Solanum lycopersicum: one gene and its partners. Each later gene encodes a partner of the first gene's protein in a complex. Links are inferred from orthologs where the notes say so. Each region holds a gene or a part of one and is shown on either strand. Other genes may lie near its edges.

Evidence for each region.
Region 2: FIE (region 1) and VIN3-like protein 1 share a complex: the UniProt entries of both Arabidopsis thaliana proteins name them as parts of the plant homeodomain / polycomb repressive complex. The link is inferred for Solanum lycopersicum from reciprocal best matches to the Arabidopsis thaliana genes FIE and VRN5.
Region 3: FIE (region 1) and VIN3 share a complex: the UniProt entries of both Arabidopsis thaliana proteins name them as parts of the plant homeodomain / polycomb repressive complex. The link is inferred for Solanum lycopersicum from reciprocal best matches to the Arabidopsis thaliana genes FIE and VEL1.

The regions. Positions count from the first base shown.
Region 1 is NC_090806.1:68,819,775-68,822,798, forward strand, and holds the end of FIE (fertilization-independent endosperm protein), read right to left. Parts: intron 2,575-3,024; coding exon 2,495-2,574; intron 2,395-2,494; coding exon 2,323-2,394; intron 1,989-2,322; coding exon 1,929-1,988; intron 1,844-1,928; coding exon 1,747-1,843; intron 1,401-1,746; coding exon 1,337-1,400; intron 1,251-1,336; coding exon 1,191-1,250; intron 1,107-1,190; coding exon 1,040-1,106; 3' UTR 620-1,039; downstream 1-619. Other genes in the region: uncharacterized protein, read left to right, coding at 1-155. UniProt on the Arabidopsis thaliana protein: Polycomb group (PcG) protein. PcG proteins act by forming multiprotein complexes, which are required to maintain the transcriptionally repressive state of homeotic genes throughout development.
Region 2 is NC_090804.1:22,642,077-22,646,420, reverse strand, and holds the start of VIN3-like protein 1, read right to left. Parts: upstream 2,856-4,344; 5' UTR 2,575-2,855; intron 1,114-2,574; 5' UTR 1,062-1,113; intron 845-1,061; exon of another isoform or gene 778-844; intron 1-777. UniProt on the Arabidopsis thaliana protein: Involved in both the vernalization and photoperiod pathways by regulating expression of the related floral repressors FLOWERING LOCUS C (FLC) and FLOWERING LOCUS M (FLM).
Region 3 is NC_090806.1:12,265,570-12,269,865, reverse strand, and holds the start of VIN3 (vernalization insensitive 3), read right to left. Parts: upstream 2,838-4,296; 5' UTR 2,604-2,837; coding exon 2,582-2,603; intron 1-2,581. UniProt on the Arabidopsis thaliana protein: Maybe involved in both the vernalization and photoperiod pathways by regulating gene expression. Binds preferentially to dimethylated histone H3 'Lys-9' (H3K9me2).

The DNA of each region.
Region 1 (3,024 bases):
CTCTTGAGGACATGATCAAGGAATCACAGACCAAATGTTCTTCTTTAAGTGTTGAACTAGCTAATTCAACATCTTCTCTCGATGACGTTAAAGAGCTGAGTCAGAAACTGGAGAACATGCAGAAATTATTGATGCAATTGCGAACTCAAGTTTAATTTGTTTGTCCTCCCCTGTAAGTCATTTTTGGTAGTATGTTATGTTACTATAGTTAAAGAATCATACAGGCTTTCCATTCTTTTTGTACATATGTACTATCCAAAATATGTTGAGCATGTAGCACAGCGAGAAAATGTAGTAGAAGAAAGAAACCTCAGTTGCATAGTAAATTTTGTATTGATGTATGATCGGGCAAAACCAAAAAAAGAATTTCATCACCCACTTATGTTAGGGTTTCTTGATATTGAATTGTATTTTGCCATCATTATGGAAGATCATTATGTTTGGCCAAATTAAGCACATCGTTGATTTTTGTCATTTAAGGGTTTCTTGATTCTTACACATTTTGCTATTTTGCTTTCAGTGATATGGAAAATCATTTTGTTGGACAAATTTGAGCATCATTTTTGGCATTACCACTGCCTTTCTTTCTGAGATAAAATTAGGTACGCTATGAATATAAATTGGTCAAATTGGTTTGTATACACTTATGTACATATTTTGGTAAACATCAAAGTATTAATAAGTTAATCAAGTACAAACCAAAATAACTTATGCAAAAGAAAACTCCCAAATACAGAGTGATTGTTTTTCCTTCTTTCTTTTACAAAGGTATTTTTGTCAATCGAAATAATACGAAGAACAAGATAAAAGGGGAGTCATAGTAATAATGCTAAAAACGATAACTAGACAAGTTTGACGTCCTATCAACCTTCCCAGATCATCGACCTCCATATGTCCAGCACTAATAGTACAAGTTCGATTCACTGGCACATCGAGATAGTCTCACAAGAAAGAGGTCAGAGATAAAGTTAAGCAGAATTTACAGGTGTGTTTGCATGTTTAGATATACTTTCGATCCTTCATAATAGTACATTCAAACTCAAAAAGTTGTTGCTACCACATCCCAGCGCCATATAGTCCCATCTTCACAACAGCTAAGTATGGTGCTGAAGAAAAAAGACAATCGGTTAGTGAAAGATATATCAAAAACATACACCAGAAGCAGTTAAAAAGTGATTTTGGATCTTAACCTTCCATCAAAAGACATGGCAGTCTGTCTAATTGGTTGTTTAGATTGAACATGAGACAGCCTGCAAAAGTTAAGCACAAACACTTTAAATCCAAAACATCAACGAGAAGGATCAGAAACTAGGGAGGGGGATGGATAGACATTAACTTTGCAATCAAAGTTGGCGGGCTTGTTTGTACTTCCCAGACAAAGATCTTGCCTTCTCTATTTCCTGTTAGACATAAGGTCAACGGGTGAATTCCAGAACAAGCTTGGGTCAAAACATACTATGAGTAATCTAGCATGCATGCAACAAATGGACCTAAAAACTTTTCGTTTATATTTTACTTGGGATAATATTAGATAATCTTGACAGCCTCTGGGTTACAAATGACTTCATGCCACACTCAGCAACCCCAGATTTTTTTTTTTTTTTTGGGGTGGGGGTGGGGGGTTACACAAGCAGTAACATTTGATTCCAAATTTGAGCATTATCCAGTGAACAGTACACTAACAGAAAAACTGTTGAGAAAACTCAGTAAGCACATTCAAGATTTTGATTTAACACTTAGAATTACCTATAGCTGCTGTTTTGTAGTGATAATCAAATGAAAGCTTAATAAACCATATATCACACTCCGGCACAGGATACTTTTGGAGGACGTCACTGGTGCCCTAAATGTAGAGCAATATACATTAGGAAATTTTCCAATTTTAGAAAATAATTATTAAAAAAATGGTTCAAACATGACCAACTAACCTCTCCAGCAGATTGTTCTTTCATCTTTGGTTCCCATAATAGAATTTCATTGTCAACACTCTTGAGTATTTCCAACAAAATTTAAGGATCAGTACAAGTAAAATATGAGAAGACCATGTAAAAGACGAGAAGATATCCTCAATCCATTAACAAGTAATTTTCAACTTGAGGTTGACAGCTCATGGTTAAGAAAGAAAGCTATTCTTTGCTTTTCCAGAGGTTCCCAGATTTGCTCTGATTTCCCCTCGACGAAATCAGAAGAGTAAATATCTCCCGGTAAGAAAGATAAAGCCAACCAATAATTCATACAATAGAACAGTTCTTTTCTAATAAGCTCATATAGAAGAACGGTAAAAAAAAAGAATTCAGGTAGAAAGCAGGTCAATATATTCACCTTGGACAAGATAAAATCACCAAGCCATCTGTTACAGTCAACGTAGTTGTTATGGACAGAAGCTATTAACAACTGAAAGGACAAAAAGAAGGTTACAGCAAGAAAAAATCCTCCAACCAAACTTTCAGAAGAAAGAAGGCAGGGAAGGAGAGAATTAACAAGAGTTACTCACTGGAAACTGTACATATTTTGTGGGAAACTTGGAAGGAAGATCCGTCCAAGTAAACGATTTCTCCACATATGTCCAGAATTCTGTAGCACAAGTAGTTCATCAGAAAAGAAATATCAGCTCATATTGATGTTACTTCTTTATATATACTGGTAACATTACTCAAATTGATGTTACTTCATTTTATTTTTTTTCAAACTTGTGTAACAACAGAGCACCAATGGAGCAGATGACTACTTAATCTGACTCATAGCCAACGCTACATCGTTTCCAGGGACAACAGTAAGGTAATTGCTGATAGGTGTGACTATAACTAGGGAAGTAAAGTAGTGTAGATAAAAAGCATTGTGAACACCAGAATACATAAATTCTAGGATAACTGCATGCTGCCTAATATTCCTTCCAGGTAATTGGTACATTGATAACTGCGGTTGGATCTTTGAAAACGTTGGCATCATTTTTATACTTGTAACCAAAGACAAAGATATCCTTGTAGAAATATGTGCTAATAAATTAATGTATTCCACAATGAA
Region 2 (4,344 bases), on another chromosome or scaffold:
AGATAAGTATACTTAATTGACAATGACTTCCCTACTTATGGTTTTTTTATGAAGTACATTTCATAGATGATATCATCAATATGCATAAATCACTTTTTGGGCTTTTCTTGTTCCCTAGTTCTGGTCTAATCTCTTTTATATTAAGCAGACTTTTCTTTGTTAACTCTTTTTGTATTTCTGCATATTCTTCATGCCATCTACAAAATGTACTTCATAAAAAAATAATAACATAAGTAGGAAAGTTAGTCTCAATTAACTATACTTATCTTTGTATGCTCTAATAAATCCCTTAATTTATTGAGCATCATTTCTTAATTTTATGCACCATGGTTCACTTTTTTTAAGGAGGGTAACCTCAAATATTATAGAAAACAACTACTATAACATACATGGATTTTACGAGCTTCATCCTCAATTTAGTCTTATAGAGATTTTTTTTTTTTACAAAAGTAACAAGTTTGTATATAATCATCCGCATTAAGGCTGGGATCCCAAAAATTTAGATCACAAAGCTACATACAACTAAGTAGGCTCAACAACCCAAAAAAAGAAACCTATCTCTAGGTCCTATATCATCTTACAAGGATTCTAAGATGTCTACAATTGCTACAGGATCATCTATATATTCCGAACTACACCAATACCAAAAATTTTAAACATATTGAAACCATAAGACTAAAACATTCACGTTGAAACCTATAAAGCTAACCACCATGAAATGTGTGAAAAAAAAAAGAAATCAGAATAGGAAGTTAAATTGGATGTAGGCCAGAAGACCTAGTTTCCCATCTTCCCATGGCTAAGATTGCGAGCCTAGGGCCAAGAAATGGTATATATACATATCCTGAAACAAAAAAAAGGGAACCAAGAATTGAAGAGTAAATACAAGAATCATTATGACTATTCTTTTATACTCAAAATACCATGGAGGTCTGGAAAGGATTTAAACAAGGAATCTACAGATACCAAAACAAAAATACAACTTTATCCTAATGCAGTTTCTCATGCTTAGGTGGTAGGTAGATAACTCCCAGGACATGAGATTAAGTGGACATTCTCACCTTTATAAATCCATCAATGATAGCCAAATAAGGATGTGGCAGCAACCCCTCCCTGTGACAATAAGATGTTAAGTTTCATAAGTGATACATCTCTGCAGTTTAGGTCTCTAAAATGAGAGACAAACATTTTCCTAAAATATTGATTACCCTTGTATCCAGCATCTTAGGAACAGGCAATTCAAATTCCACACTAAAAAATTTTAGAGAACATTTAAGTTACCAAAATTTCAACAGAAAGTCAGAAACACAAACACACGTGAAACTACATAGTCATTTACACACAACCACACCAAACACAAAACCTTACTCCCTCCATTTTTGCATTACTTTTCTTTTAAGTATCCTACTTAGTTTGTTTAAAAAAGAATGACACATCTCTATGTTAGTGAGCTTTTAATTTCAATATTCCTACTTCAACCTTAATGACACTCCCTTATGGAAATGACATGATATACTTATGATCACAAGATTCAGAGGATATTTTTAAAATGTTATATGCATCCTAGTTTAAAACCACAAAATTGACAAATTACATCATTAAACTCCGTGTCTACTCCTAGTCAAACTAAGACACAAACTAAAACAGAGGAAAGATTAGATCACATTAAAAAGAATTGTAAGATTCTCATAAATATGATAAAATATGATCTTGTAAATATAGTATAGCTTGATTTACTCCTGTAATTATGTATTTTGATTCTCTTTCCTTTCTTAGAGTATGTATACTTACCTATTTAAACCCCAATGTCCCAAACCACAAAGATTTCCCATGCTACCCTTTTGGATTCAAGATTGGTCCACCCTACCTATTTGTTACTCCACACTCTTCAAACTTTTGCATCTGTTACTTGATCCTTTATTATCTTTTAGAAAGCACAGTAGAAAAATCATCCTTTCAAAACCTCCCTTAATCACCATCCTTTTGTGAAGTTCTTTACCTCTCACATCTAATGATATTATTCTGGTCATGGTAAAACTAACTGCACTTTCTCTTACCTAACTAACTTTGCTCCCGCCTACCTCTTTTGTTAATAAAAAAGAAGAAATAAAAAAACTTAAGCTATTCTAACCCCCCAAAGAGACCTTTCTCTCAATAACAACAAAAATGTCTGAGACTTCTATAAATCAGCACATGCATCAGTGTTGAAACTAGAATCTGCAACACTAAAATGGTGCTAATGCTAAAATCAGCTATCCCAACAAGAAATACTAAAATCATTCACAGACGCAATGAGCATTTGGAAATTACTAGTGTCCTAGTTCTTCACATTGCCCATATTCAGCAAGGAAACAAACCAGAGATAACCAGCAACCAACTCGTAACAGTCAAAACACCTCATCACGAACAATACCCAAAATATATATACTACCCAGCAAAGAGAAACAAAATTTCACAAAAACAATCAACAATCACAAACTTGAGTAACAGATCTGGAACCAAACACATTCAGCAAACAACCAATAAGAAAACAAATATATTTAACAAAAACATGAGAAACTCTGAAGAAAGTACCTGATGTGATTAATAAAAAAAAAAGGAGAGAAAAATTTAGGGTTATCGAAGGAGAAAGAGAGAGAGGGGTTTGTTTGGAGAGTAATGAAAAATTCTCTCTCTGTGTTAAAGAAAAGTTGGGACCTGTTAATGTTAGTTGGTGTTATACCAAATTTCTGCACGCCAATTAGAGATGATCCTCACGCGTAATTTAGGAGCGTGACCTGCTCTATTTGCCTGTTTTACAATTTGCTCGTCTCTCTCACGCTTTTTATTCTACTCTCAAGATAAGGTTCTATCATATTTTCTGTTGGAGGTATTCACTTTAACTTTTATCACCTCCACATGCATGTGCTTTTCATACCTAAATAAATATAATATTCATTTCCAAATTTTACATTTATACTACTATATTAATTGGAAAGGATTTAATTGTACCCTTCTACTTGCTTTGTTTTTCTTCATATTAACAATACTTTTCTTGTATTATGTAATAATATATATATGTGTTTATTTTCAATCAAATATTATGTATTACTTGTTATGAATAAGATCTAATATAGTTACATTTTGAATTGCTAGTTCAATTCGGCATCAGATTTGAATTTGGGTTTGATTTTAGTTTTAAAAAATGATCTATTGAAAGATCACTTTTGAGTAAAAGTTTTGCCCCTATATCCTTTCTTACATGCGAGACACATTTTTTTGCATCGGCGATATCGCTAGAAGATATGTATCTCTTCAACACATTAGTTTGTATCGTATTGTTGTATAATTATACATCAATGTTTCACCGATCCAACGCTGGTTGAAAAGAAACATCTCATTGTTGTCCTGGTTTGAAATGGTGCTTGAAGGGTGATATACAATTTTACGTCAATGGTCGCCGATGCAGCACCGATACGAATTGGTATTGCATTTTTTGAACCATTGAATTTTTCTTGAAGCAGTTTTTGATAGCTATAAATATTTAATATTTACTTAGATATTAACATACTAACTAATACACATCAAGTACTAAATTTTTGAAGTTATAACTTTTTTTTTTGCAAAAAATCAAGTGTCATTTACTGTGAGTTCAAGATTCAACAAATTTTAAGGTGCCACTATTTGGCTGAAGTGAATCATTGAATATTTTACAAACAATAAAGTGTGTCGATTTTTGGTTCATAAGTTCGAACATTCAAATATTCATGGTAAACGGTAATTGAATCAGATAATGTTGAGTTCATTGGTAGAATTAGACTTAAGTTGTTTATAAAGGGTTTTAACGACCTCAAGAAGAATCAAAGGTGACTGGACTTAATAAATAGATTTCAAGACATAGTAAACATCAAAGAACATTACTTTCTTTGCATATGATTTGGTAACATTTCTTCTTGAATATGAGGCTCAAACATTCAAAGAAGTTTTTTCTTTGTAGACTCATTCTTTTGGTAATGGGTTGTCTATAATGAGATTTATTTAATCTTGAGCAATACATAGGAGTTGGTTGATCTTCTTCCGGGAAACAAACTTTTTGGTTCAAAATGGATCTTCAATAAAAAAATGAAAGCTTATGGAACTATTGAAAACTAATATACAAGACTTGTCGTCAAGGGTTTTAGACAAAAAAAGCCTTGATTATTTTGACACATACTCGCTAGTAACTAGAATTACATTCATTTTGATGCTACTTGCATTAGTTGCGGTATATGATCTTGAAATCCATCAAATGAATGTGAAAGCAATTTTTTAAATGGAGAGTTGGACGAAGAAATTTACATGAAGCAACCTAAGGAGTTTTGTGGT
Region 3 (4,296 bases), about 57 Mb from region 1:
TAACCAGATGTGGGGCATAATATAAGTATGACTACTGCTTAACATTAACCCGAAGTTCCAAATTATTTGGTATTACCTATATGAGTCATTTGCTTCTACCGTATTCTGCTCATAACAAAATTTCATTTGATAAGTTGAAGGACATTCGTTCCAAATCCTAAGCCAAGCCCTCATTGACTTCAAAATATCATACATATTTAGAAACAATGTCCCTCCATGTGATTTAAGTGTAGTCCGTGCTCGTTTAACACCTTCAATTATCATAATGTTGCTTCTATAGACTTGGTGCATTTGGCGGTCTAAGTAGGGTGATCAAACTATGTCAGGCACCCTCCTATATATCCACTACATATTATATTTGTTTTATGACAAGGAAACCTTCAGCCACTACCCGTCGCATGTACACATGCTAAACCCTACTCATGTGCAATAACTCACAAATCACACATGAGAGGTCTACCGCACTAGGCAAGCCCCGTGTGACGAGCCTGATCCAAAATACCAATCCCCTGCTATCGCTAGCAAGGGGTTTCAAACTTGAGACCTCCATTATGGAAGTGCTAAGCCAAACCATTTGAGCCACCCTGAAGGATATCCCTTATGAGTGATATGTGCACTTTGTGATATTCTAAAAAAATGGGATGAGTTCATTAGGAGTTCTCAGTAAACATGATCAAACCATCTAAGAACAACATCCTAATCCTATGCGTGTTCTACTTTCAACCTTTTGTTACATGTGATCATTTCTGATGACTGAACATCCATCATATATTTACATTTTTACGGTGCTCCTTTTTGAGGATGTGGTAGGGCCTTAAAATTCCTACATTGAGTCTTATATAACACCTTGTCTCACAATTGTCTATCAAACTTGTCTTTCACTTTGTTAGACATCTTCCATTCAAATCGCACCTTCATACCATTCCTCCGTATCAAGCATCATGTTTGTAGTTTGATTCTTTTTATCAAGAGAACAATTTACATCATGTTTTAGTTTTGATATGTAACACCACTGGTTCATGGCATTCTCCTGATGACCAAACTTATATATCTAAGATGTCTGCATCTTAAATGTCACAATCTGACCTAATCTCATCTCAACATCATTGTTCTTATAGTACTATACTTACATAGTGCATATATTTTACCCTACTTCTACTTGACTGAGGACTCTCCCCTTTTGAGCAAGTATCCATAATTCCAACTTTTTACTAGCTCACTAGGTTATATTAATAGTAATTATTATTCTTATAATTATAATAATTGGCTCAACATTATCAGCAAATACATGAACATAGAACATCATCTTGTATAAAAAATGGTTAGTGCATCTATAATTATAAGTTAAACTATAAGTTCAAACCATATCTCTAGTGTAAAAAAATAAATAAAAGTTTGGATAAGTTGTTGTTATTCTCAAGAAGTCTCTTATACATGCATTTTTTTCAACTTCAGCCAAGGGTTAAGCAGAAACAACCTCTCCACCTCGCTAAGGTAGAGGTAAGGTCTGTATGCATCCCACCTTCCCAACTTCCACCTCCCCTAGACCTTACCTTTGGGAACATTGGGTATGTGTTATTGTTGTAAGTTGGTGCAAAATCCGGTTACACAATTCCTCCATATCTACTCTCATTGTTTTAATACTTGTCAAATATCCATTGATTATATATCTTCCCCATTTATACATTTCATGTCAAATCATTATTTCATAAGCATTCTCTAAAAGACTCTAATGGCCTTCTAATAATATGTTTCTCTACACCGATGACAATCTGCTGGAGATTGTTCCTCTCCCTATAAATTTTCGACAGTCTTCTCACAGATATATCCTCTTCCCACAAAAACTGAAAAACAAAATCCTTTTTTCCACACGGGTAACTGCCTAAGAGGAAGGAAAAGAATCAGAAAGATCATTTGTAAAAGCATAGAAAAAAAAACAGAAAAGGTAAATTCTTTAGCTATTTCTAGTTTGACTTCACCTAATAGTAGCACTCAATTTCCATGATTAATTCCAAACAGATCTTATAATATGATTGTGTCATCATAGGGTAGTAATAACCTCCATAATTCAACTGTCCTTATAGGTAATCCTCCTTTTCTAAATTGTAAAATGTGAAGGATCACAACACAGTAGGCAAAGAAAAAATGGCATCATTGTCATCCTCCAAATATAATAATAACTAATACATACCCCAGAAGAGTAGGTAACTAAAGTAGGTAACCAACCACCAATCCTAACACCCATTTCAGTAAACCAAAAAAAAAATCACAATGTGAAAAAGAATAAAAAACTATATTTTTTGTACGTATAAAACAGTAACTAAATTTCATTTCATACTATATAATATGCAAAGAGATAATAAAAATCAATTACATAAAAAAGAAAAAAAAAGAGATGGGATCAACACCATTTCGTTATCAATAACACATTAACAGGATGAAAAATAAACAGATCAGAAAATTTAACAAGTTACTTCCTCTATCCCAATTAATTTCTCCGATCAATTATTGAAACTTGATTTGACTTTATCTGACAAAAACCAAATAACACTCATGAAATTGTATGATTCACCATTGTTACCTTCAAAGGAAGAAAAATCCATGGATGCAGTTCCAAAACAAACCAATTTTGCAGCTGAAACAGCAGAGATGTGATAATTTAGAGCAAATATTGAAGAGAAAAAGGTATTGGTGATCGATCAGTTTGATGGAGAGAGAATGAAATAGCAGAAAAAGGAGAAGGAGATTAAAATTGGGGTGAAAATGGAGGAATCCATGGGGTCTTCAACGTGGGCTTTTCGGTACCCGAAGCAGTAGTGATAGAGAGAGAGGTAGTGGGGTCATCTAGTGGTTGGTTACAACTTACAAGAGCTGCAGATTTGTAGGACAAAAAATAAATATTATATTTATCGTAAAAACAACAACAACAACAATAATAATAATAATAATAATAATAATAATAATAATAATATGGGCTATTGATTACGATACGTAAGCCACTAACTATAGGACAAATATTATTTTTTTAAAAAAAAAAGATGCTCCATGAATATAAAGATAGAATGTTAGATGATATAAAGTAGCACATGTTGTAAATAATATTTTTTTGTAGTTATGGGCGATCATTATTCATATCTTCATTAATCCTTTCTTTTTATGAGATTAGTAATAATATTCATATCTTTGTTAATTATTCATAATTAACCTCCGTTAAAAGTTTAATTAAGTTATGATATAGTTGTTTGAAAAATATTTATTTGTGTTATTATTTTTTAATTTCGATTATCTCAACAAAATTCCAAATAATTTTTTAATTGGGGTTCTAGATCAAATGTTCTTTTTATAATTTTATTTTCACCAAGAACATAAGAAGAATACCACGAACTCCTAAATTTTAACTTCATCAATTCTTAAGGAAATCGGCTCAAAATTTAAGAGTAGCTTCCCTCCGAGCTAGATACCAAAATTCAATATTTTTTTAATCTCGAATTTAACTTAACAGAACAAGACTCACTTGAAATTTCTTCAAAATTATAAAGCTACACCATTCTTTAATGGTAAAATTTTCTCCGCAACTTAAAATCACTTGTAAATTTGATTATGGACTAAACAAACACAATGTAGCAAAGATCTAGTATCAAAAATAGCAACAGAACAAGAACCAAAGCAGGATTTTGAAATTTTAGAACTAGTGTTTTTTTTAATATCTTTCTAACAAGGGCGGATTTTTTAACTCCACAAATGATTTTTGAATTTTGACATTTAAAAAAATAAAATTAATGACATGACTGAGTTAAAACTGGTCATGTGTAAAAAATAATTTTTCAAAATTGAAGTTAAAAAATAATTGCATAAATGAGTCTGTTCTCAAATGATAAAAATTTAATAAATGACATAAATAAGTCTTTTTTCCAAAGTTCAATGACACGTTTAAACATTTTTCCTTTATAATTACATATTTTTTCACCTTTTGAAACATTAATGTTATACTTATAAATTATAATCCTCTTTTTGTTATAGAAATGACTCATATATGTCCTTTTACTTAATAGATTAATTTTTGTTGATTAAAAGTTCATGTTTTTGGCTTAAATTTAAGAAAATGTCATGTGACTTTTAAAATATCTCACCTTCCACCATATCCACCCGACCGAATTGGACACAATAAAAACCCACCCGCTCAAATCATGTTCACCCATTTCAAATCATCGTTTCTACCTCAACGAGAAACAAAATTAAATTTTATGAAATTGCGTTTGGTATATTTTTCCAGCAATCTTTTCTTTCTTATTCATT